Linked DNA regions of Mus musculus: region 1 is reported to be linked to region 2. Evidence: microRNA targets listed by miRTarBase, many of them from high-throughput screens and not tested one by one. Region 2 holds a microRNA gene; the other region holds the end of a gene's coding sequence.

The links. The annotated mature microRNA mmu-miR-3098-5p reads UCCUAACAGCAGGAGUAGGAGC and lies in region 2 at 5,407-5,428, opposite strand. An mRNA with a match to its seed (bases 2 to 7 or 8) in the 3' UTR can be bound and repressed. Matches are read on the target gene's strand: a 7mer-m8 pairs with bases 2 to 8, a 7mer-A1 pairs with bases 2 to 7 and ends in A, and an 8mer does both.
Region 1: the mRNA of Asxl2 is a reported target of mmu-miR-3098-5p. Seed matches in the 3' UTR shown: 7mer-A1 at 4,591-4,597.

What each region holds. Positions count from the first base shown.
Region 1 is chr12:3,497,389-3,508,580 of GRCm38, reverse strand. It overlaps Asxl2 (additional sex combs like 2, transcriptional regulator), which reads right to left. Exons shown (of 13, transcript NM_001270988.1): 13 at 1,729-8,602. The coding sequence ends at 6,209. Among named protein-coding and RNA genes, the nearest start is that of Dtnb, 69 kb to the left of the region's middle.
Region 2 is chr6:125,190,043-125,201,234 of GRCm38, reverse strand. Mir3098 (microRNA 3098) reads right to left here and starts at 5,443; the gene lies at 5,357-5,443. It overlaps Gm52878 (a long non-coding RNA gene), which reads right to left and starts at 4,501. Exons shown (of 2, transcript XR_003956366.1): 1 at 3,993-4,501; 2 at 739-3,374. Ncapd2 (non-SMC condensin I complex, subunit D2) reads left to right here and starts at 9,649. Exons shown (of 32, transcript NM_146171.1): 1 at 9,649-9,737. It overlaps Mrpl51 (mitochondrial ribosomal protein L51), which reads right to left and starts at 9,035. Exons shown (of 3, transcript NM_025595.3): 1 at 8,802-9,035; 2 at 8,609-8,719; 3 at 6,843-8,012. The coding sequence starts at 8,880. The coding sequence ends at 7,816.

The DNA.
Region 1 (11,192 bases), not on the chromosome of region 2:
CACACCGAAGAGAGCATCAGATACCATTACAGATGGTTGTGAGCCACCATGTGGTTGCTGGGAATTGAACTCAGGACCTCTGAAAGTGCAGCCAGTGCTCTTAACCATTGAGCCATCTCTCCAGTCCTAAGTGAATTTTTCTTATCCTTGCATAACCAGCACTTTGTAAGGGTTGAGCACATAGTAAGTACCCAATAGATACTTAAGTAACAGGATTTGTATATAAAAGTCTTGAAATGTTCAATTTGACTGAAAGTCAGTTGAGATAAAGTTGTGTAAAAAGCAATGAAATAGGTTTCTAAGATTCTGGGAGCGAAAGGATATGGATTTTGCTTACAAAGTAAGTGTGGTAAATTGTTAAGTATAGATGGGAGCTAATTTCACCTTCCTTCCTTTTATGATTAGGGATTATGATGCAGATGTCCCCCGAGAGTAAACATTTCATTTGTGTGTGCACACATACGTAATTCAAGTGTACTTGCCTGCATGGGCACACAAAGAGGACAAAGGTTAGACAAAGGTTCATGTGGCAATGTTTTCAGTTGATGCTCCACCTTATTTTTTGAGATATAGGCTTTTCTTTCTGAATCTGGAGTTTAACTGATTGGGAAACCTCCAAGATCAGCCCTTTTTCTATCTCCCCAGAGGTAGTATTACAGGCAAATATGACAGACACCCACTTTCTATGGGTTTAAGGGTCCTGCAGGCAGGTCATTATGCTTGGGCAGCAAGTGCTTTTAGTGACTGAATTTTTCCATGGTCCCCAAAATCTTTTTTAGAATAGTGCTTTTAGTTGAGATCTGTAACACTGTCTCTTAGATGGCTAGACTAACTTCAGTGTTTTTACATAACTCAGATGTTGGAAATTTCAAGTTACTTTAAGAAAATGCTAGGTAGCCTAGCTTGGTGGCACATGCCTTTACAGCACTCAAGAGGAAGAGCAGGTGTTTTTATTATCACTGAACTTCATTACAAATTTTATAGACCAGGAGATCTATATTTCCAAGACCATCCATGTACGTATTCTGTTCTACCCATTATATCCCAAAACCATTTATTTGACACAGTGAGGTCTCATTAATTCAAGAGTAATACAGGTGTGGGAACAAAGACATTTAACTTCAAAAAGTCTGCCTACTGCTCATTTCCCTAAATGCTCTTGACACAAGCCATCTTCCTAATTATTTGAAAAAAACCTAACCAAGGCACAGGTGTTCTTAACACAGATCTAGGTTCTGACCGCCCGAGCAGTCAAGCACAGGAATTTGGCTATGAAACTCAACTCGGAGACAGACTGGGAGAGAGAACACAAGCCTTCTGTGTTTCTGAGGTTGGTTCTTAAGCATCCCAAGGGCCTGGTGTGTGATGACCAACACGTAACAAAGCATCAATAGCTGTGAAAGCCCAAGATGTCTCCTTACCTTCCGGGATGCTAAAAGGAGCCACAGACACACTACAAGGGACTACTCTGATTTCCTCGCTCTTCCAGTGTTGTTAGATGGTTAGGAAACTGGTGAAGGTGAAAACACAACAGAGATGAGCTATCATGTTTTCATATTTTTCCTTAAGTTCTGAAATACTCTGTCCTGACTTATGGCCAAGTTTCCTCAATTTACTCTTTCCCAGTCTGTGGTGACCTTCCCATAACTGTATAAGGCAACTATTTGAAGGCCTTTACCCATGTTACATTCAGATGTTAGATCTCCAGATTCATCAAAAACTACAAGATTTTTAATTTCACTTTTAATTATCTTTTACTTAATAATAAAATGAAAAATAATATATGAATACATACAATCTATATACACATATTTATTGCAAATACTTAAAATTCTCATTAAAATGATTTTTCCTTATTTGTGAAAAAATATGACTTATTAAATGGCATTGACACCAACTTCTCTGTACATACCCTCAATTCCAATGGTAACAATTCCTTTAAAAAGGCAAAAGACAAAAATTTAGCATTTACCAAACCAGTCTGTACAAACCTTATCACCAGAGAGGGAAAAATAGCTTGTGCTAAATAAGTCAATATTCTTTTAAAATAAAAAATAAAAGCCCCAAATCATTCCCATTATTGCATTTTTTTTTTTCCGGGAAATAATCTGTTTTTAGAGCAACTCCTTTGAAATAATTTGTGCCTTAACAGTGAGACCCTACCATTAAACATAGTATACATGAGAAATTCAGTCCTCCACTGTCACTTTTTTACATAGATATTAAAATATATATTACTTAAAATATATTACTGGAAAGTTATTTTTAAATTGATCTTCAATAGTTGTATCAAATGTAAAGCATTAAAAAAAATAAAGTAACCAAGACTCTATGAAGCTACTGCTTCAACTTTAGGAAATGTCTACCTACTGCTTTGTTCAATAGGTATATAGGTATTGAAACACAGAGGAAAAGGTCCCTGCCTATCATGTTTTGCAAAGTCTCTTTGGACTGTTCTATAAATTGAGCTGCAGACTACCCATGGCCAAGTCCAGCACTTAGCACACACTGTTGTAAAGCAACAAGAAACTTCTTCTCCTTGTTCAGTGCTCATGGACAATCTCTAAAATAAATCGCAGAACAATGAGTAATGGAAAGCCTGCTCATAACAAACCATTTAACCCAAGAGCTCATGAAACTTTAAGAGGAGGAAAGCAGCATAGAGCAATCAGAATGGTAACTGAAGGGACCGTTCTATGTAGGACAACACACCTTCACCCGGAAGGCAGTGAGGTCTATTAATGTACATCTGAGATAGGCTCGCAAATATTCCCATTTCTATACCCATAGAAATGTAGCCTTCCCCTCTCAAGAAAAGCTCCCTCACTTGCCAGATCTTACTCAGAAATCTCACACAGAACATGGGAGATAGCTTCAGTGTCTTGAACACAGGACTTAAGGAACCAAGGCCAAACAACTCCAGGTTATTTGTGCTGCTCCCCCACCCCCATATTACTGAGCTAAAGAATGGTGATTATTCAAAAAGCAAAACAAAAAGTCCTTATGATTCAGAGAGTGTTCTACTTAGGCAACTCAGAACACTTAAAAATAACACTGAGATGACACAATATGAATACTATCCCAGCGATTTACAGAGACTACTTTGAGGGCTGGATGGGGCACAGCCCCATCAGGTATCAGATATATTTAATACCTCACTGAAAATTGCCACCCAAAGCCCAAAGAATAAGCTTAGCACTTATTCAATCAGTTCAGAGTTGAGTTAAAGGTAAAAGAAATGATAGGCCATGACAAAATCTGTGTTAATAGTTACTGGAGTGACAAACTCAAAGGGCCAGACTAGTTTATTTTCTGTTCATTTATAAGATGAATGTTCGTCTTCCATCTGAAAGCATGTTTTAACACAAATAGACTAGATGGATTCTTATTTAATATATTTTCAATCTAAAAAAATTGTTGGTAAATGCTGCTTTTGGAATACTTTTAAATGGAAATTAGTTGGGTATTACTTAGTGGAGAAGAACAGTACTTCAGACTTACATAGCCTGAGGAGATCAAGAAGAGTAACAATGTAATTTCCTCTTTAAATGGACCTGACAGTCCCTAATGTCTTCCTCTTTTCCATCCATTCTGAGATTAAGGGAAGTATGGAGCAAAAGCCTTTCTAGAAAGCAAGGTAGGAAATAGGAAAATTATTCTAATACAAACTACTCACTGACACCATAAAGTCTATTCCGTCATTCACCCTCTTAAAGCAGGGTAGACAAGGGAGACTACTCAGCTATGGGTCTTTTAAGGTCCCATGGGGACTACCCATTGTCCTGAAGGTTTGGGAGCAGAATCCTGGCTTGTATTTTTTTTTTTTTTTTTTGGCTCTTTCAAGACAGGGTTTCTCTGTATAAACCTGGCTGTCCTGGAACTCACTCTATGGATCAGGCTGGTCTCAAACTCAAAAATCCGCCTGCCTCTGCCTCCCAAGTGCTGGGATCAAAGGTGTGCGCCACCACCGCCCGGCCTGGCTTGTATTTCTTACTGGTCCTTCACTTCAGAACATACACACTTCTTAACCATGAATCCTTGAAGCCTTTCTTCTCCCTTATCTATGCATTTCTTGAAATAAAGGGGGAAGGTGGAAGGATATCACATTGTCTTGACTAGTGCTGTATACAGAATTTAAACTGTAATTGCTTAGGTCCACAATAGCAGGGAGGAAAAATGAAGGGTGAGCTTCATAGTTTGGAGCAGGGACTGAGGAAGCATTCCCAGTGTTTGATGCAAAAAGGTAGGGTGGTCAGGGGAGGGCATCACAAGGCAGGCAAAATACCTTACTGTCTCCTTTCTCCAATCTGGAAGGTGATATAATTAGCAAGTTAAATTGTTCTGAGTTTTATAAATAGCTTTTGAAATACACCTATACTGGGTTGCAATATTACACCACATACTTCAAATTAGGAGACTTGAAACCAAACAATACAGACTATATAATACTAAATTTTGGTGAACTATTTTTCTTTAAACCATCTCTAACTTAAACAGTATTTCTTTAAAAATTCGTAGCTAGCTTTTGTTTTTTAAAAAAGACAAGTGTTTCACTGTGTACTCTGGAACTTGCTATGCAAACCATACTGGTCCTAACCCAGAGATTCACCTGCCTCTTCCTCCCAAGTGCTGAGATTAAAGGCGTGTCACCCACCATGTCCACCAACTAGTTTTTCTTTTCTCTCTTTTTTAAAAAAAGATTTCTTTATGTATATGAGTACACTGTCACTGTCTTCAGACACACTAGAAGAGGGCATCAGATCCCATTACAGATGGTTGTGAGCCACCATGCGGTTGCTGGGAATTGAACTCAGGATCTCTAGAAGAGCAGTCAGTGCTCGTAACCACTGAGCCATCTCTCCAGCTCCTTGTGTGTGTGTGGTTTTTTTTTACTTCTTTTATTTATTTAGGGTTTTTGTGATTATTTTTGTTTTGAGACAAGGCTTCTTAGATAGCCCTGGTTGTCTGGAGCTCATTATGAAGATCAGGCTGGCCTTGAACTCAGAGACTGGTCTGTCTCTGTCTCTGGAGTACTGGGAGGATTAAAAAAAAATCAAAAGGAAAGAAAAACAGCAAAATCTCACAGCCATATATTCCATTAGTCACTCACAAGACCCTTTCACAGTAAGCATCCCAGCTGTCCTGACAGCCGAGATTGTAGAATCACTTTCTAAAACAGCAAACTGTGTACTTGTGTGTGGGTGCAAAATTTATTATAGTAGGATGGCACAGGGTAGCTGCATTCATCTCTTATGCTCTGGATGCCAAAGCATAAGTATCACTTAAGACCCTTTCTACCTAAAAATGGATTGAGAGAATAGGAAAAGACTATTTTCTGTCCCATGTTAAAACCACTCTTCCAAATTCCGTGAAGTTTCAGTTTCTTCAATTTCATCCCTTTTCCAACATTACACAGTATGCGCACATGCGCGCGCGCGCACACACACACACACCCACCCGTAAAGTGTTTATTGGTGGGAGCCCATGATTGATGCAATGTTGTGATGTATTATTGCTGAACTACTGCCACGTATATACTAATCTAACTCAGCAGTCCCTTAGAAACAGAACCTCTTAACAGCAGAGCTCTGCTTTTAACAACAGTACTGATTCATGGAAGCCAAAAGCTAAGCCAGGGCTGTCAGGGTCAAAAACACTGTCTGTGCTGTTAATACCTTTTGAAAATTTCACTGAAAATAGTTCCACCTAAAGTAAAGGGATGAGCAAACCCCGAATTAAATCCCACAAAGGCCATCTTCTTCGTGAAGAACCTGAGCCAGTCTGTGAAGACATAATCAGCACTATGATCGCTCCCTCACTTTCCTTTTCATAGCCTGGGGAAAGGTCAGAGGCAGACAGCTTCCTTTCACCATGCATACCGTTCAACTTTTCTCAGTCAAAAGAAATGGAACATAAATCTGAATGTGAAGTTAATACATCATTACCTAAATACTTTGAAAAAAATGTTAAAACAAAATGTGACATATTTACATGATTTTGTAAGTGCAAACTTTGTCACCAATTCAGTCCTATTTGACTCAGACCTACTATACAAGGTGCTCTTCCTGTAAATGTGAAGACCTGCATTCTGTATTCCTGATTAATGTCTCTTGAGACAACTGAAACTTTATTTCTGTGATTTAAAAAGGGTGCAAGAACATGACTTTTTAAGCCTTCCCTTCCCTCCTTTACATACGCTACAGTCTTATTACCGAACAACAAGGCAGGAGACACAGAGTTTGGAGGGGCCAATGCAATCATCATGGCAGAAAGCTCCACATCCTTTGCACATGATCATGGCTTTCAACCGGCAGTAACATTTTGATGGTGTGTCCTCGATACTATTGTCATCAGGAAAAGTCTGAACAGGAATTGTCTGGCCATGGCTGCTGGGATTCATTGCTTGACTGGCAGGGATGGTAGTGACAGTCACTGAAAACGACATGACGTCCCCTACATTGCTAGATACCTGGCTGCCTGGTATAGCAGAGTTATGGTCCATGTCTGATGAGGTGGAGACATTGATCATGCCTCTATAGCTTGGCCCTATCTGTGTGGGGCTTCCATACAATTTGGGGGTTTGCAGTGGTGGAAGGAGTAGAGGCTGATGTGTGGGACTGTCTGCGGGAAGAGAAAGAGCAGTAGAATTGAAAAGCTCAGGGCTGCTACACACTGTCTTACCTCTCACAGCATGAGTCATCTGTTTATGTGCTGCCGGAATAAAATCTCTAGGCAGGCTCTTTTCATCAGATGCTTGGCCTCTAGAGAATATGTAATTCTCCTGGCCTAAAGTGGTTTGCTCACTCACTGGTGCCTCAGTCTTACCATTCTTGCTAGCTAAACAATCATTGGTAGATGAAGCTTCCCCATGGTGCGGATGCCTGCCAGAACTCTGGGAAGCCCATGGCTCCTCCTTCACTGAAATAGGCTCCTGTTCATCACCTACGCGATCTTCATCACTTTCATCTTCTTTGCTGCTGATTTCTCCAGTTGTGTTTTTATAATCTGCATGCCCCATTCTCAACGCCTCAGTGGGGCTACTTAGACAAAATCGATCATCAGGATTTACAGAATGGGTCCTTTTAATGTTCTCTGTACCCCTGCCATAGGTGGAAATATTAAGTAAATAGTGACCTGCCATTGCAGGCTTGGATGTCCTTCTGCCAGCAAAACCCAGCATGAACTTCTGACTTGTGGAGATGTCTTCCAAGTGGAAACCTGAGTGAGCAAAGTTGAACTGAGAGGGCGGTACAAATGAAAGAACACTCTGTCTCTGAGCCCTCTGGATAAGAGTCTGAAAGAGCTGATCTTGCGTTGTTTTACTTAGACCTTCTCGGTACTGGTGAGTGTCAATGCAGGGGTCCTTCCGGTCCTTAGCAGTGAAAACTGGCCTTGGAACCTGGGAAAGCTGTTTACTTTGCAAGGGTTTCCCCAACTGCGGGATAGCCAGATGGGCCTGCCTGCCATTAACTTCCTCTCTGCTGCTACTTTCCATTACACTGATACCAGGGAATATCCCTATGCCTTTTTCCTCTTTTGTAGTCAGTGGAACTGTTTTCATTTCAATTTTGGTGAGAGGCTTAGGCAGAATTTGCTCCAAGGGAACATCTTTGCCCTGGAGCAGCTGAGTAACTAAAGGATTATTAGCAGGGATACTAGAACTTGTTCTTGAAATGGGTCCATTCATATTTGCAGAAGTTCCTGGGGTTTTAAGGCTAGAAGCTGCTGGCAAAGTGCTTGAGGATGGAGCTGATCCAGTAGATGTTGCAGTTCCACTGATCTGGGGTACAGGGAGTTTTTCTAAACTGGCTGTTGTCACAGGAGAGGAAGTCATATCTAGTGGAGCAGGAGCAGTTGTCTTTGCTAAGGCTGAAGGCTTTGGTGCATTCTTATTAGAACCTGCTTTGGGCTCAACTGTGCCATCAGCTACAAAATAAACAGTTGAGGCTCCTGAGATCAGAGGAGGCCCTGTTGGAGACAGAGCTTTTTCAAGTCTGCAACTCCTAGGGTCTTGCAAGTGGCAAGGAGAGGCTGCTGTGGCTGTTGCCTTGTGGAGGTTTGGTTTTTCACTGTTTGATATTTCTATGTGGGCTGGTAATGGGACACTTGTGCATGCTCCACTGCTGGCAAGTCCCGTAGGCACTGAGGAGGTTTGCTGTAGTTGTGCTCCAGAGATACCAGGAGGCTGTGCTTGGCCTGGCATATTGGTCTCAGGTTGAGGACCACAGGGTAAAAGTTCTCTCGTACCTCCCCTGCTTCCAGTTCCGGCCAGTTCCAGTGTGGGACCTTTTCCATTTGTACTGACTGGGTCTGAGCCTGCACTTCCTCCTCCAGCAATTTTCCTTTCACCACCCTCTCTTGGACTTTGTCCACCCCCAGGGCCAGGTCCCGGAATGGTCCCTCCAACTGAGGCGGCTGCAGCAGCTGCAGCAGCTGCTGCGGCTGCTGCCTTTTGTGCTTTGACCAACTGGGCTTTTGCTTTGATGTCTGCCAGAGTTCTGGCTCCTGTTCTGTAAGGACTAGTGATGGAGATTGGAAAACGAGCCCTGGGAGAGACCTGTGATGTAGAAAACAGCATCGGGGAGATTCTGGAGACAGGGATCTAAAAAAAGTAAGGGATGGGGGAAGGCAGAGGTCAATTTTCAGCTGTAAGACTAGAGCAGATAACTAACACAAAGCACCCATGGCACATATGGCTGCTCTACAACTAACAACACACATTGTGTCTAAGGTTCAACCTTAATCTATCCACCCATATCAAGGTCCATGCATATATTGTCTGCCAGTCATTTTCAACCCTGGTGAATTCTATACTCGATTTTAAAAATGTATGTGGTTTTGGGTTCCAGCCTCTAGCTTACAGATCAGAACGGCTAGAAAAATATGTATTATACTAAAGAAAAAATTGTGAAAACCTACTAAATTTCAAAAAATTTTTTTTTCTTTTTTTGAGACAGGGTCTCATTATGTAGTTTTGGCTGTCTTGGAACTCACAATGTAGATCAGACTGGCTTTTAAGTCACAGATCCCTCTGCCTCCTCTATTAAAGACAAAAGCATGTGCCACTACATCTACTCTGAAATCACTTATTTTTATAACATTAAAAAAAAAAAAACAGATTGTTGTCTTAAGTTAAGGAATATGCATCCAGATACGATGCCTTTCAGTATTTGGTGGAATCAAAAGAAGCAAAAAATCGTTAATATTATAGAGTATTTAATTAAAAAAATTAAGTGATCAATTATAAGAAAAGCATGTCATCTTTCTATAAATTCCTCAATTATAAATTTTAATATTGCTATTTTTCATAATTCAAAAAGTATTAAGAAATCAACTCCCTATACCTGAGAAATCCGTTCTAAAATCATAGGTAGCATTATTTACTCAGCACATAATGGTTAGAAGCTGTGGGGATAAGAAAAGCAGCAACTGGCCGGGCGTGGTGGCCATGCCTTTAATCCCAGCACTTGGGAGGCAGAGGCAGGCAGATTTCTGAGTTCAAGGCCAGCCTGGTCTACAGAGTGAGTTCCAGGACACAGAGAAACCCAGTCTCGAAAAACCAAAAACCAAAAAAAAAAAAAAAAAAAAAAAAAAAAAGAAGAAGAAGAAGAAGAAAGAAAGTAGCAACTGCTACTTCTTGTTAATAGAGAGAAGAGACTATAAGACAAAATAGATAAAACTGTTAAATAAAACACAGGAAATTTGTTTGGAGAAAAACAACCTTATAATGATACAAGCCAAATATCCAAGTATAAGGCCATTCAGAGGTCCAACCTATGTGTTAGTTCAAGGCTGGCCTGGTCTACAGAGTGAGTTCCAGGACAACCAAAGCTACACAGAGAAACTCTGACTTAAGAAACAAAACAAAAAGTCTGGTGGTGGTGGTGCACGCCTTTAATCCCAGCACTTGGGAGGCAGAGGCAGGCGGATTTCTGAGTTTGAGGCCAGCTTGGTTTACAGAGTGAGTCCCAGGACATCCAGGGCTATACAGAGAAACCCTGTCTTGAAAAACAAAACAAAACAAAAATAAACCAAAAACAAACAAACAAAAAAAAAAACAAGATAGAAACAAAACAAAAAAGTAAAAGGACCTAATAACTGTTTGTTTATCCTATAACCACTTAGTAAGTTTTATTGTTATGCCACCCACCACAGAATGCTTGTATTTTTTTGTTTGTTTGGTTTCGGTTGTTTTGTTCTTTTTAGAGAGGATTTCTGTTTTAGCTTTGGCTGGAATGGTATTCTTTTTGTAGAGCAGGCTGGCCTCAAATTTAGAGATGTGCTGGCCTTGGCCTCCCGAGTGGGAATGTTAGGAGTGTGTATATATGTATGCACATGAAACACACAAACATACTCCCTCTCTCTTTTATGTGTGAACAAAGATCATGCTTATATACACCAAGGTGGTCCTCAAACTTGTGACCCTCCCAAGTGCAGGGATTTCAGTTATATCACCATGCCAGGCTCATAAAAATACTACTTGAGGGTTTTCACCCTACCCAGGATAATACAAGATGACTTAAAAGTCACCAGTATAAACATATTGAAATTAAAAAAGGACAAAGCAGTTAGATGTTTTTATATGTTTAAGTTTCAATTACTTTCTGTCTTCATGAAGCAGTAATGAAATGTAATATTTTGCTTTTAAGAATATAAACGAGCTGGGCAGTGGTGTGGCATGCCCGGAATCCCAACTCTGAAAGGCATAGGCATAGGCTTAGGCTTAGGCTTAGGCTTAGGCTTAGGCATAGGCAGAGAGGTAGGCAGATCTCTGTAAATTCCAGGCCAACCTGGTCTACAAATAAAGTTCTAGGACAGCCAGAGTTCTTATACCGAGAAACCCTGTCTCAAAAAAAAACCAAAACAACCTACCAACACCACTCCCCCAAATAATAATTAAAAAAAAAAAAAAAAAAAAAAAAACCCAACCAAAAGAAACAACAAACAACAAAAAACCAACCAGTCTCTGGTTCCTGAGATTAAAGCTGTGTCCCACCATAGCCCAGCTAGATTCTGTTACTTTTATATGTTTTGTTTTGAGAGGAGGCCTCAGTGGTTTTGGCAATTCATTTCTTCATTTGCTATTTTTCCAGAGCTGTGGTCATAGGTATGTAGAAACAAACTGGCTAAAACATTTTGTTCTGGTATAAATTATGGAAGCTAGATAGAATGTAAGATAAGAGAGTAAAACA
Region 2 (11,192 bases):
AGGCTTTTTACTTTGAGAGGACAGTTTTGAGAGGATGGTGTTCAGATGGCATTCAATCTAAAGCCAAGACATAGCCAGATGTAGAATTATAAGTCTTTTAAGTAAGGATAGATGACAAAGGTTCTGTTTAATTAACAAACATGATGGACTGGGTGTTAGGTCTCTTGTACTTTATAAGTTACAAAATAATAATAGTTATGTTCAATTATATCTGAGATAAACAGTCTTTTAATTGGACAGAAAGGGGAAAGTGTTGTGGATAGCCCTGGGGCTAATTATATTTGATGTTAATTCAATTCTCCTATGAGTGGTTGAGAACAAGGAATGAGTCAGCACTCAAGTGATTTCCTGTAAACCTGCTTCCCACCTTAATTCGTAAAATAAAGGAGAGCTGATGATTGGGCAGATAAAAGGGAAGGTGGAGTGGAAGGTGAGAGGAAGAGAAGAAGGAGAAAGCAGAAGAGGGAGAGGATGCAGAGAAGGAGGAAGAAGGAGAAAAGCAGAGCAGAAGCACAAGGCCTGGAGAACCTGCAAGTTTTAAGGGGTCTCATAGATGTGGAAGATTAAGGTAGTGTAGCGGTAGATCTGCCCAATCTAGGCGCACAGCGTGTAAACATATGAGCTGTGTTGTTTTCATTGCTGGGGCATATTTGGGAAATTTACCACAACAATGTCTCATGTTTCTCTTCATGGCCAAAGCAAAACAAAAACAAAACAAAACAAAATAAAAACACCACCAACAAAAAAAAAACCATTTAATTGGGAGAGTGCTTACAATCTCAGAGGTTGAATGCTTGACCCTTAGCAGGGAGGATGGCAGCCTGCAGGCAAGGCACTGGAGCAGTAGTTATAACTTACATCTCATCTACAGGTAGCAGGTAGAAAGAAAGAGACAGATTCCGGGCCTGCCATGGGCTTTTGAAACCTCAAAGCCCACCCCCAACGACACTCCTCCAACAAGGCCACATCTCCTAACCTTTCTCAAAACACTTCCACCAACTAGGAACTATATATATATATTTAATTTTTAAATTACAATCATTTATTTATTGTGTGTCTGTGCAGTCAAACTTTTGGACAGGATTATGTTTATGAATTCATATATGTATATTAATATTGAGACAGTGTCCCCAAGGATGCCCTGGAACCTCCTGAGAGCTGCACTGCTGGTGTGTACCATCGTGTCCAATTAACTCAGTATGGCAGAATGGACTCAGAGTTTCCTGCATGCTAAGGAAGCAGTTTATCATTTAAGCAACATCTACAGCCCAACCTAACCTTTTAGTTTGCTTGTTTTGTTTTTGTTATTTGTTGTTAGAATATAAAATATTGTCTTAGCAATCAGGTATGGTGGCAGACCTGTGTAATCCCAGCACCTGGGAAGCAGAGAAAAGGGGATCTGGAGTTTAAGGCTAGCCTGGACTACATTGTGAGTTCAGAGTCAACCTGGGCCACATGAGACACTCTCCTTAAAAACAAAACAAAACAAAAAAGCCCAGCGTGGTGGCGCATGCCTTTAATCCCAGCACTTGGGAGGCAGAGGCAGGCAGATTTCTGAGTTCGAGGCCAGCCTGGTCTACAAAGTGAGTTCCAGGACAGCCAGGACTATACAGAGAAACCCTGTCTCGAAAAACCAAAAAAAAAAAAAAAAAAAACCAAGCCAGGCATGGTGGCACACTCCTTTAATCCCAGCACTTGGGAAGCAGAGGCAGGCAGATTTCTGAGTTAGAGGCCAGCTTGGTCTACAAAGTGAGTTCCAGGATAGCCAGGGCTACACAGAGAAACCCTGTCTCGAAAAAACAAAAAAACAAAAAACAAAAAAACCCCGCCACTTTCAAGAATGTCAGTGTTTTGAGTAATGTGGCTATGAGGATCAACTACAGGATTTATTATGGCTTCTTCAGCCTCTGATGGGCTGAATTCCTAATCACTGCAGAAGCCTCTTTATTCCTACACAAAAGGAACTATTACCAAGCCAATTTCTGAATATCAAAACCCCCTCTGACCTAGGAGCTGTCTGAAGGAACCATTACCTAAGCAATTCTCAGCCAAACAAGGCTTCCTAGTTTGCCAAGTATGTCTCAGGACTAAGTTATGCAAAGGCTCTGTGCATCCTCTGGAAGGACCACTCAGAACACCTCAGATAACAAGCACTGACTATTTATTTACAAAAGCCTATATGTTATCACTCGGGAATTCATGCCAGATAAATTTCTGCTACACCAGTGTTATAATCTGTTTCTATTAACTGATTTCCGGCTGTTCGGAAACCCTGTGCTCTCTGACTAGCATTTACCACGTCCATCGTGTCTCCACACAATCCCCAGAGAACCCGGTATGGGCTAAAGCCACTCCCCAGCCCTTATTCCACCCAAGGAGCAGCAACTAAACCAGGTCTGCTTCTGTAGACATGTCTATTCCCCACATTTCAGTGAGACAGAATCATATAGGATTTGGCACTTTATGACTGATTCTTTGATCTAACATGGTGTTTGTTTGTTTTTGTTTTTTGCTTTTTGTTTTCAAGACAGGCTCTGTGTAGCTGTGTGTTCCTGGCTGTCCTGGAACTCACTCTGTAGACCAGGCTGGCCTTGAATTCAGAGATCCACCTGCCTCTGCCTCCCAAGTGCTGGGATTAAAGGCATGCACCACCACTGCCTGCCCATCTAACATGTTTTAAATATTCATCTGAATGTGGCATGTATGGGTACTTCATTCCTTTAGTAATTGAATAATAATTCACTGTACAACTGTTCAAAATCTTGGTTACTTTTTTTTTTAAATCAATTGCTGGACATTTGTCCTTTTAAAACATTAATTTATTTGGGGGGCAGGCATGCACATATGGAAATGAGATCAGTTTGCAAGAGTTGGTTCTCTCCTTCTTCCATGAGGGATTAATTAGTTCCAGGGACCAAACTCAGGCGTCCTTCAGACTCACTATGTATCTGAAGAAGGCCTGGAACTCCTGATCCTCCTGCTCTACCTCCTAGGCACCTGGCCCACGGGGCTCTGCTAGCAGGTAGGCATTGGTTTGGTTGGGTTCCTCTTGTGGCCACCATAATGGCCTGCACTAGCATGGCCCTTTCTGCTCTTGTGGAACAGACACGCTTCCATTCTCTTGGGTGACACCTCTGAGTGACATTACCGATCCATACGTAACTCTGTGTTTAGCTTTTTGGGCAGCTGTGGATTTCCCAAAGTGGCTAGATCATTTTACTAAATGTAGGTTTCCTCGTGCTCTGACTCTTAACTTCTCAGCTTATCTTTAGGCACACAAAGTAGTTCCACTAACAAATACTACTTGTAGCCTTGCTGTGTGCTGGCTCCATGCTATTTCTCACATCTGTGCCATTTTGCTCTGCATCATTTGCCTGAAAAAAAAAAAATTGTTACCTCCCTCTGCACCCCCTCCCCACTTTTAACATTCCTTTAGGATAAATTAGTGGTGATCTGATCACCTACAGGAAGCCTTCCCTGCCCTCTACCTGCTCCCCTGGGGTTGGTTAGGGACTCCTTCCTGCCTGTGTCTATATAGTCATTTCCCATTGAATTCCTAGCACTGACCCTTTCCAAGACCTACTTCAAGCACTTCAATCCACAGTCACACACACACACACACACACACACACACACACACACACACACACACACACACACACGTGCATGCATGTGCACACACAATTTTCTCACCCCCTTTTAAAAACAAACAAACAAAACAAAAACAAAAACCTCATGTGGGACTGGAAAGCTGGCTCAGTGGTTAAGAGCTGCTCTACCAGAGATCCTAAATTCAATTACCAGGAGCCACATGGTGACTCATAATCATCTATAATGAGATCTGGTGCTCTCTTCTGGTGTGCAGGCCTACGTGTAGGCAGAACACTGTGTACACAGTAAATGGATAAACCTAAAAACAAAAACTCATGCTGCAACAATATTTTTCCCACGCAATTACCGAATTCAGATATGCATCTTGTTTACATACGCACCCTGTACCTGACGGATGAAATCTTTTTACAGGCAGTGGTGTAGCCTTGGTTTGTGGTGTATATGCCTCCAAGGTCCTTCCACACAATGATTCAGTGTTTGTTGAAGGGAAATGTTGCATTCTTTTTCATTACAAAAACAATCCAGCTCTGTGCTTGAAAAATAAGACTTTTTGTAACTGACAGCAGGAAGAATTTTATACGGGCTTCTGGGGCTGACTTGTTAGTTCCTTCTTCACTAACACTTGTGAGATTGTATTAAAACATTTTCCTCTTCCTTTTCTACCTTTCCCCCTCCTCTTTGGTTTCTCAAGACAGGGTTTGTGTGTGTGTGTGTGTGTGTGTGTGTGTGTGTGTGTGTGTGTGTGTGTGTAGCCTTGGCTGTGCTGAAACTTGTTCTGTAGACTAAGCTGACCTTGAGCTTATAGAGAAACACCTGCCTCTGCTACCCAAGTGCTGGGATTAAAGGGGTGACCACCGCGCTTCATGGCTTTTTTGTTTTTTCTTTTCTTTTTTTTTTTTTTAAAGATGGGATTTCACTGTGTAGCCAAGCCTGGAACTTGATATGTAGACCAGGCCTGCCTCTGTCTCCAGGGATCAGTCCTGGGTTCAAAGGTTTTTGCCTCCATGCCTGAAGACCTCAAGACTTCTTAGCCTCGTTTTATCAACCCTTGTTATTTAAATTTTGTCCTTTGGGATCAAGTCTCTAAGCAACCAAGCCCAAGAGAGGCTGAATAATAAGACCTTGTGCCAAAAGAACTTAGCTGGGGCTGTGGAGAGATGGCTCAGAGGTTACAAGCACTTGCTGTTCTTGCAGTGGCCCTGATTTGGTTCTCAAAAAAACAAAAACAACCCAAACTACCAATTGACTAAGTAGATGTGAGTGAAGATGTCTCAGGCGTGTTAGCCCACTGCTGAATATGGCCTCGTGACAGCAAACTAGATTAACCATCTGAAGAAGAAAACCCAGAGAAAATGATTTGAAGTTGTTTTAGTCATTGAGTTTAAGAATGGACTGTTACGTCATAAAAGATCATTGACACAGAACTTAGATTTAAATCAAATAGGATAACCACCCTAATTTTTCTACCTTCAGAGCTCACTTGAGTCTACAAGCAATTCATTTTCTTGGATTTGCAATACTTTTAACATTTTTAAATTTTATTCTACATCCCAACCACAGCTTCCCTCTCAACCACAGCTTCCCTCCCTCCATAGTCTCTCCCTGCCACTTTTCCTCCCCACACCCAGATCCCCACTCCCCTGTTCTCCCCAGGTCAGGCCTCAGTGGCTATCAACCAGCCATGGCATATCAAGTACAGTAAGACAAGGCACCTCTTCTATTAGGGCTGGGCAAGGCAGCCGGTTGTGGGGAAAGGGTCCTAAAGGCAGGCAGCAGAAGCAGGGGATAATCAGAGCTCCTACTCCTGCTGTTAGGACTCCTCCCAACCACAATGTGTGGAGGGCCTAGCTCAGTCCCATGCAAGCTCCCTGGTGGGCAGTTCAGTTTCTGTGAGCTCCTAAGGGCTCAGGTTAGTTGATTCTGTGGGTTTTCTTGTGATGTCCTTGACCCCTCTGGCTCCTACAGTCCCTCCCCCCACTCTTCCAAGAGAATCCCCAAGCTCTGCTTTGTTTGCCTGTGTGTCTCTGTAATACTTTTTTGTTTTGTTTTGTTTTTTTCAAGACAGGGTTTCTCTGTGTAGCTCTGGCTGTCCTGGAACTCACTCTGTAGACCAGGCTGGCCTCAAACTCAGAAATCCTCCTGCCTCTGTCTCCCAAGTGCTGGTTTTAAAGGCGTGCGTCACCACCGCCCGGCAATACTTTTTTATAAAAAGAAGTAGGTATTATATAGCCTTGGACATGGCCACTAAATATGAGGATTAAACAGTAGTTTGAAGCTGGATACAAGGACTCACACATATAATCTTGTCACTCTGGAGGTAGAGGCAGGAGGATGGGTCCCAGTTTGAGCTATAAGAGTTCCAGGCCAGCCTGAGCCTGACTTTGAGAGACTATAGGTTTTTGGTGTTTGTTTGTTTGTTTTTGTTTTTATGTTTGTTTTGTTTTTTCGAGACAGGATTTCTCTGTATAGCCGAACTCAGAAATCCACCTGCTTCTGCCTCCTGAGTGCTGGGATTAAAGGTGTGCACCACCACCGCCCGGCTTATTATTATTATTTCATGTTTTACATGCAATAATACATGCAGCTATGCCTGTGCACATGTGCATGCCTGTCTCCATGGGAAGCCCAGAAACTGGAAGTATAGTCAGCCTTGAGTCACCATGTGTGAGCTGGGAATTAACCTGGGCAACCTGCAAGAGCATCCCTGGGAGATGGCTGGAATCATCTCTCCAGCCCCAAGACTGTTTAAAAAAAAAAAAAAAATGCAAGAAAAATTCCCTGGATTACCTTTCTGTCATCTCCAGACTTCTCACTGAATTGATTTCAATTGAAACATAAATTCAAAAACCTGTGGAAAATGTGGTGGCTTAAGCCTTAGATCCAACACTAAGGTATTATCTCCATGAGTTCAAGGCTAGCCTGGTCTACATACTGAGTTCCAGGATAGCCAAGGCTACATAGAGAAAACCCTATCTCAAAAAACCAAAAGAAGTAAATGAAGAATGTCATAGCAAAACCTATTATTTTTGTAATATATACTAACAAAAGCAAAGTGCAGCAGAGGGTCTATAGCTCACTATAAAGTACTTGGTATATCCAAGACGCCAGCACTATGCCATATAGAAGAGTCTCTCAGGGAAGCCCACACTCATGCTCTCAAGTGTTTTACCTCTGAACACCTCTCTCATAGCCCTGATGCTCAAACCTGTATTAAAATATCTTTCTTTTTAAAAAAAGATTTATTTAATGTATGTGAGTACACTGTAGCTGTACAGATGGTTGTGAGGCTTCATGTGGTTGTTGGGAATTGAATTTAGGACCTCTGCTGCCTCAGTTGACCTTGCTCTCTCTGGTCAACTCCACTTGCTCTGGTCCAATGATCAAAGACTTTTTTATTATTAAAAATAAGTACACTGTGACTGACTTCAGATGCACCAGAAGAGGGCGTCAGATCTCATTATGGGTGGTTGTGAGCCACCATGTGGCTGCTGGGATTTGAACTCAGGACCTTCAGAAGAGCAGTCAGTGCCATCTCACCAGCCCTAAAATATCTTTCTTAAATGACATTTTTTTCCCCTAAAAAAAAAAAAAAAGCAAACAGGGTAGCACACACAGGGGTAATACTGGGTGTGATCTTTAACACTTCATAAAACTGGGCATGACTCAAGGTCAGCCTCCACAAAACTGCCCTATTCAAGAGGATGGGAAATGCTGTGGTACTCAGACAAGTTCCCTAACTTATAACTGATAAGAGCAGTACAAAGTGTAATTTCACTTTCCTAGTTCATTTTGGGGTGGCAGAGTCTTTAGAAATAGCAGCTACACTTCCAAGGGCCTGGGCGGCTAGTGGCAGAGTTCCCTAGAATGAGCAAGTCCCTGGGTTTCAGCTCCAAGATTACAAAAAAATAAGATAAAATAAATAAAAATAAATTCTTTAAAAACTTACACGAGGTGCCAGTGTCAGAAAGTGCCAGCAATAAATGATTGTTATAAAGGCCACAAGCATAACTGGGCTGTAAGTAATAGTAACAAAAGATCATGTGACTTAGGAACGAGGCAGACGTCAGAGTGCATGAGTAAATGTAGCACTGGGCATATCAGATTCCAAAGGAGCCCCATTTTTTTATTACATCGAGCACACAAAGCTCTCTCCTTGCTGGGATAAGTCCTGTTCCCCTTCTCCAGGGTGACACATTTCCCGTCCTATCTGTACTTCCCATGTCGGTTAAAGTGTTTGTAGAGATAGCTGATCCGTTTGTTAAGGTTATGCAGGTCCTCAATGAACATCCTGTTTCCCACAAATTTCTTCTTTCGGACACAACGCTGCAATTCATTTCCTCTCCAGCCTCGAAGCCATACTGGGCCCTTGATCAGTTCTTTTGGGTGCTTCTCGAAATTCCCTGTAACGTGACAGAATATATACTAGTTTCAAGAGAAGAGAAGTCAGCCTAGCCCAACTAGGCCTTCAACACAGTTTCATCTCCCTGATCAGAACTACTGACAGACAAGGCACACACCAGTCTAGTACAAGGGACAGAGTCTTTGTAACACTTGCTCTTCCAAAGGATTCCCCAGCACTCTCAACTGAAGGTTCACGACTGCCTGAAAGGGAAGTTCTAGGAAGTCACCCTGAACCTGCAGGCATTGCTTGAGCAGTACACGGTACACATTCAGAAAACACAAAAATCTTATTTAAAAAAGAAGAAAGAAAGAAAGGAGTAAAGACTTTGCAGCCAGAAATGTCTGGGTTCAAATACTGACACTCCCATTTACTCGCTTTGGCCCTCAGACCTGCCCACTACTGTGTTAGTGAGACTGAGTCCCGCACTCCTCACTATTCTCCGCATCTCAGACTGGTCTTGCCTGGCTTCATCTCCCGTGTAACAGGTTTGTGCCCCCAGGCTTGCCCCGGGCACATTACTATTCTCTCCACAAATAAAACCGAAAGAGTCAAGAGAGCATACTAATCCTTCAGAAACCAGGAATCGCGTCCTACCCAGGATTCCAATGTTGTCGTAGACGCCAAACAGAGCCCTCTTCTCGTTCCAGCGATCAACCACTTTGGGAGGTGGAAGAGTGAGCCTTACGAAGGCCAACCGTGGGACGCCTAGGGAAGGACAGAAGCATGAATCAGCACTGCCCAGTGACAAGCCGTTAGCCGGCCGTCCTACTACACTTAAGCCACTTACCCAGAGAGAAGCTTCGGCATGCCGAGGGCACCCAGCCCCACAGTCTCCTACTTGCCGCCCAAGGGACACTCCCTGCCATTACTCTAGCCTGTCCGCCTCAGTAGGGGCAGCAAACCAGCCGGAAAAATGGGGAGCGGGTGTGAATTCCAAAGCCAAGACACAGATTACAGTCCCAGGCGGGACTCACACGGTAGTGACAGTAAGAGGAGCCATTTTGGGCCTTACCCAGGTAGCTTAGGGAGTCATCCCAAGGTGGCTCGCACAGCCACAAGCCCCGCCCTCCAAGTTCCGGCCTGTGAGGCGCGTCCAGTCAAATACTTCCGGTTTAGCCCCTGGAAGAATGGAACCGCTGCGGTGTTTGTTGTCGCAGGAAAGGACGCCCCCAAACCGAAATTCCGTTAAAATAAGCTCTCTCCTGTCCCTTGCGCGTCCTCAACTGTGAGGGAAGTGGAGGACGGGAGCCTGGCGCTACGGCAAGCTGAGTTTTGCTGGGGCAGTATATTCCCGGAGTGTACAGGGCCGGGCGCCACATGGTTAAAAGCTGGACTGCTTTAGGCGGCCCGCGGAGAGACAACGGGTGACCATGCTTAGCCGACTACGGTAGAGATGCCGGGAAAGCGCAGACTCGGGGCCACGCCCCTCGCCCGCTTGCCCCGCCCCCGGGGCTGTGATTGGTTGGCTTCTCCAGCCTCTGTCGCGATTGGCCTCCTGGCAGCCGTTGAGGTTTGAACAGGGAATTGCGGGCTCCGCGAGCGCGACGCCTGGCGCTGAGGCGGGTCTCCGTCTCAGCCTGCCGCGGATTGGCCGGTTCCTCCGCTAGCTTGAAAACCATCTCGTTGTTTGGCGCGTATCCTGCCCTATTGTTTTCTTCCTTCCTTTTCAGCAGGGGGCTCTCCGGTTGAAGAAGCGGCGGGTGAGGGGTGTCGCGGGGTCCAGGTGAGATGTGGCAGTGCGAAAGGTTGGGAAGGGAAAGGTTGAGAAAAAGCAGGTCCAGGACGTGACGCAGCCTTTGCCGGAGTGCGGTCGGGAGCGACGGTCTGGTAGGGATGCCCTTGAGATCCAGTATGGCTGTGTGTCTGACAGATCAGAATCTGAATGTGTGGTGTGGGCAAAATCGCATAGCCTTACTACCCAATGTGTAAATTTGGTTGTTTCGTTCTGCACCCCATGAGACTGAAATCAGGCACAGGATAAGTAGAAGTTAATGTCCTTCCATTCCATTGATTGGGCTGGAACCCCAATGCTCAGTAAAATATTTCTTAAGGATTTTTTTCACTTTAAAATGGAAGCAATAAGTCTGTATGTATACACTGATTGTCACTTAATAGTTCATTAGTATTGTCTTGTGTTGTTGTGTTGTTGTTGTTGTTGTTGTTGTTGTTGTTGAGATGTACTCCTTGCAGCCTCACTGCAGTCCTGGCTGACATCAAACTCAGCAGTCCTCCTGCCTCAGCCTTCTAATGTTGCCTTTATACACATGTTCCACCACCCCTGGCTATTGACTAGTTTTTATCCCTTGATTCTTTTGATCCCCAGAGCAACACCATTTTACAGAGACCATGAGACTCAATGACTTAGTGTCAGAATAATAAGAATTATGCTCACTTGATCTATTTGTGTTGATTTTTAAAAAACTAATAGTGATATATTATTTTAAAATATCATACAGTTAATATATTTGGAGTTATTTAAAATTTATACCGAGAAAAACATATGTATTTTCAGTATTGCTGTAGACAAACATCTGCATAAGACTGTTCAATTGATTGTTGTGTTATATCACACAACTTTTATAATACTCATTGTTATTGTTACAATATTATATGTATATATATTTTTGTTTGTTTGTTTTGTTTTTTTTTGAGTTAGGGTTTCTCTGTATAGCCCTGGCTGTCCTGGAACTGCCTCTGCCTCCCGAGTGCTGGGATTAAAGGCGTGTGCTACCACGCCCAGCTTATTTTATAAATTTTAAAGAATATGATAAAAAACAAAAGGTATTGCAGGTTTTGAAAGGGGGGACTCTCTGGGAGGAGTTGGGGTACAAAAGGGAAAGAAGAATGTGATGTAAGTCTATTTACTCAAAATATGTAACAAATTCAGGTAAATTGAAATTATGTATCTTTTCTCATCAGAATGCAATAAAACTTAAAGGAAAAAATTATTCTCCTCTAGAGTTGCTTTTATATTGAGGGTGAGGGTTTGCAGGGGAGGGTGTTTTATGACAAGATCTCTTGCAGCCCACACCACGTAGCCGAGACTAGCCTTGAACTCCATCCTACTGATTCCCGTGGACTTGGGACATAGATATAAGCATGTGTTACTTTGTGCGGCTCTGATCTTATATTTTATAAGACGATTCATATAGCTGTTATAAGACTGAAAAACATTTGA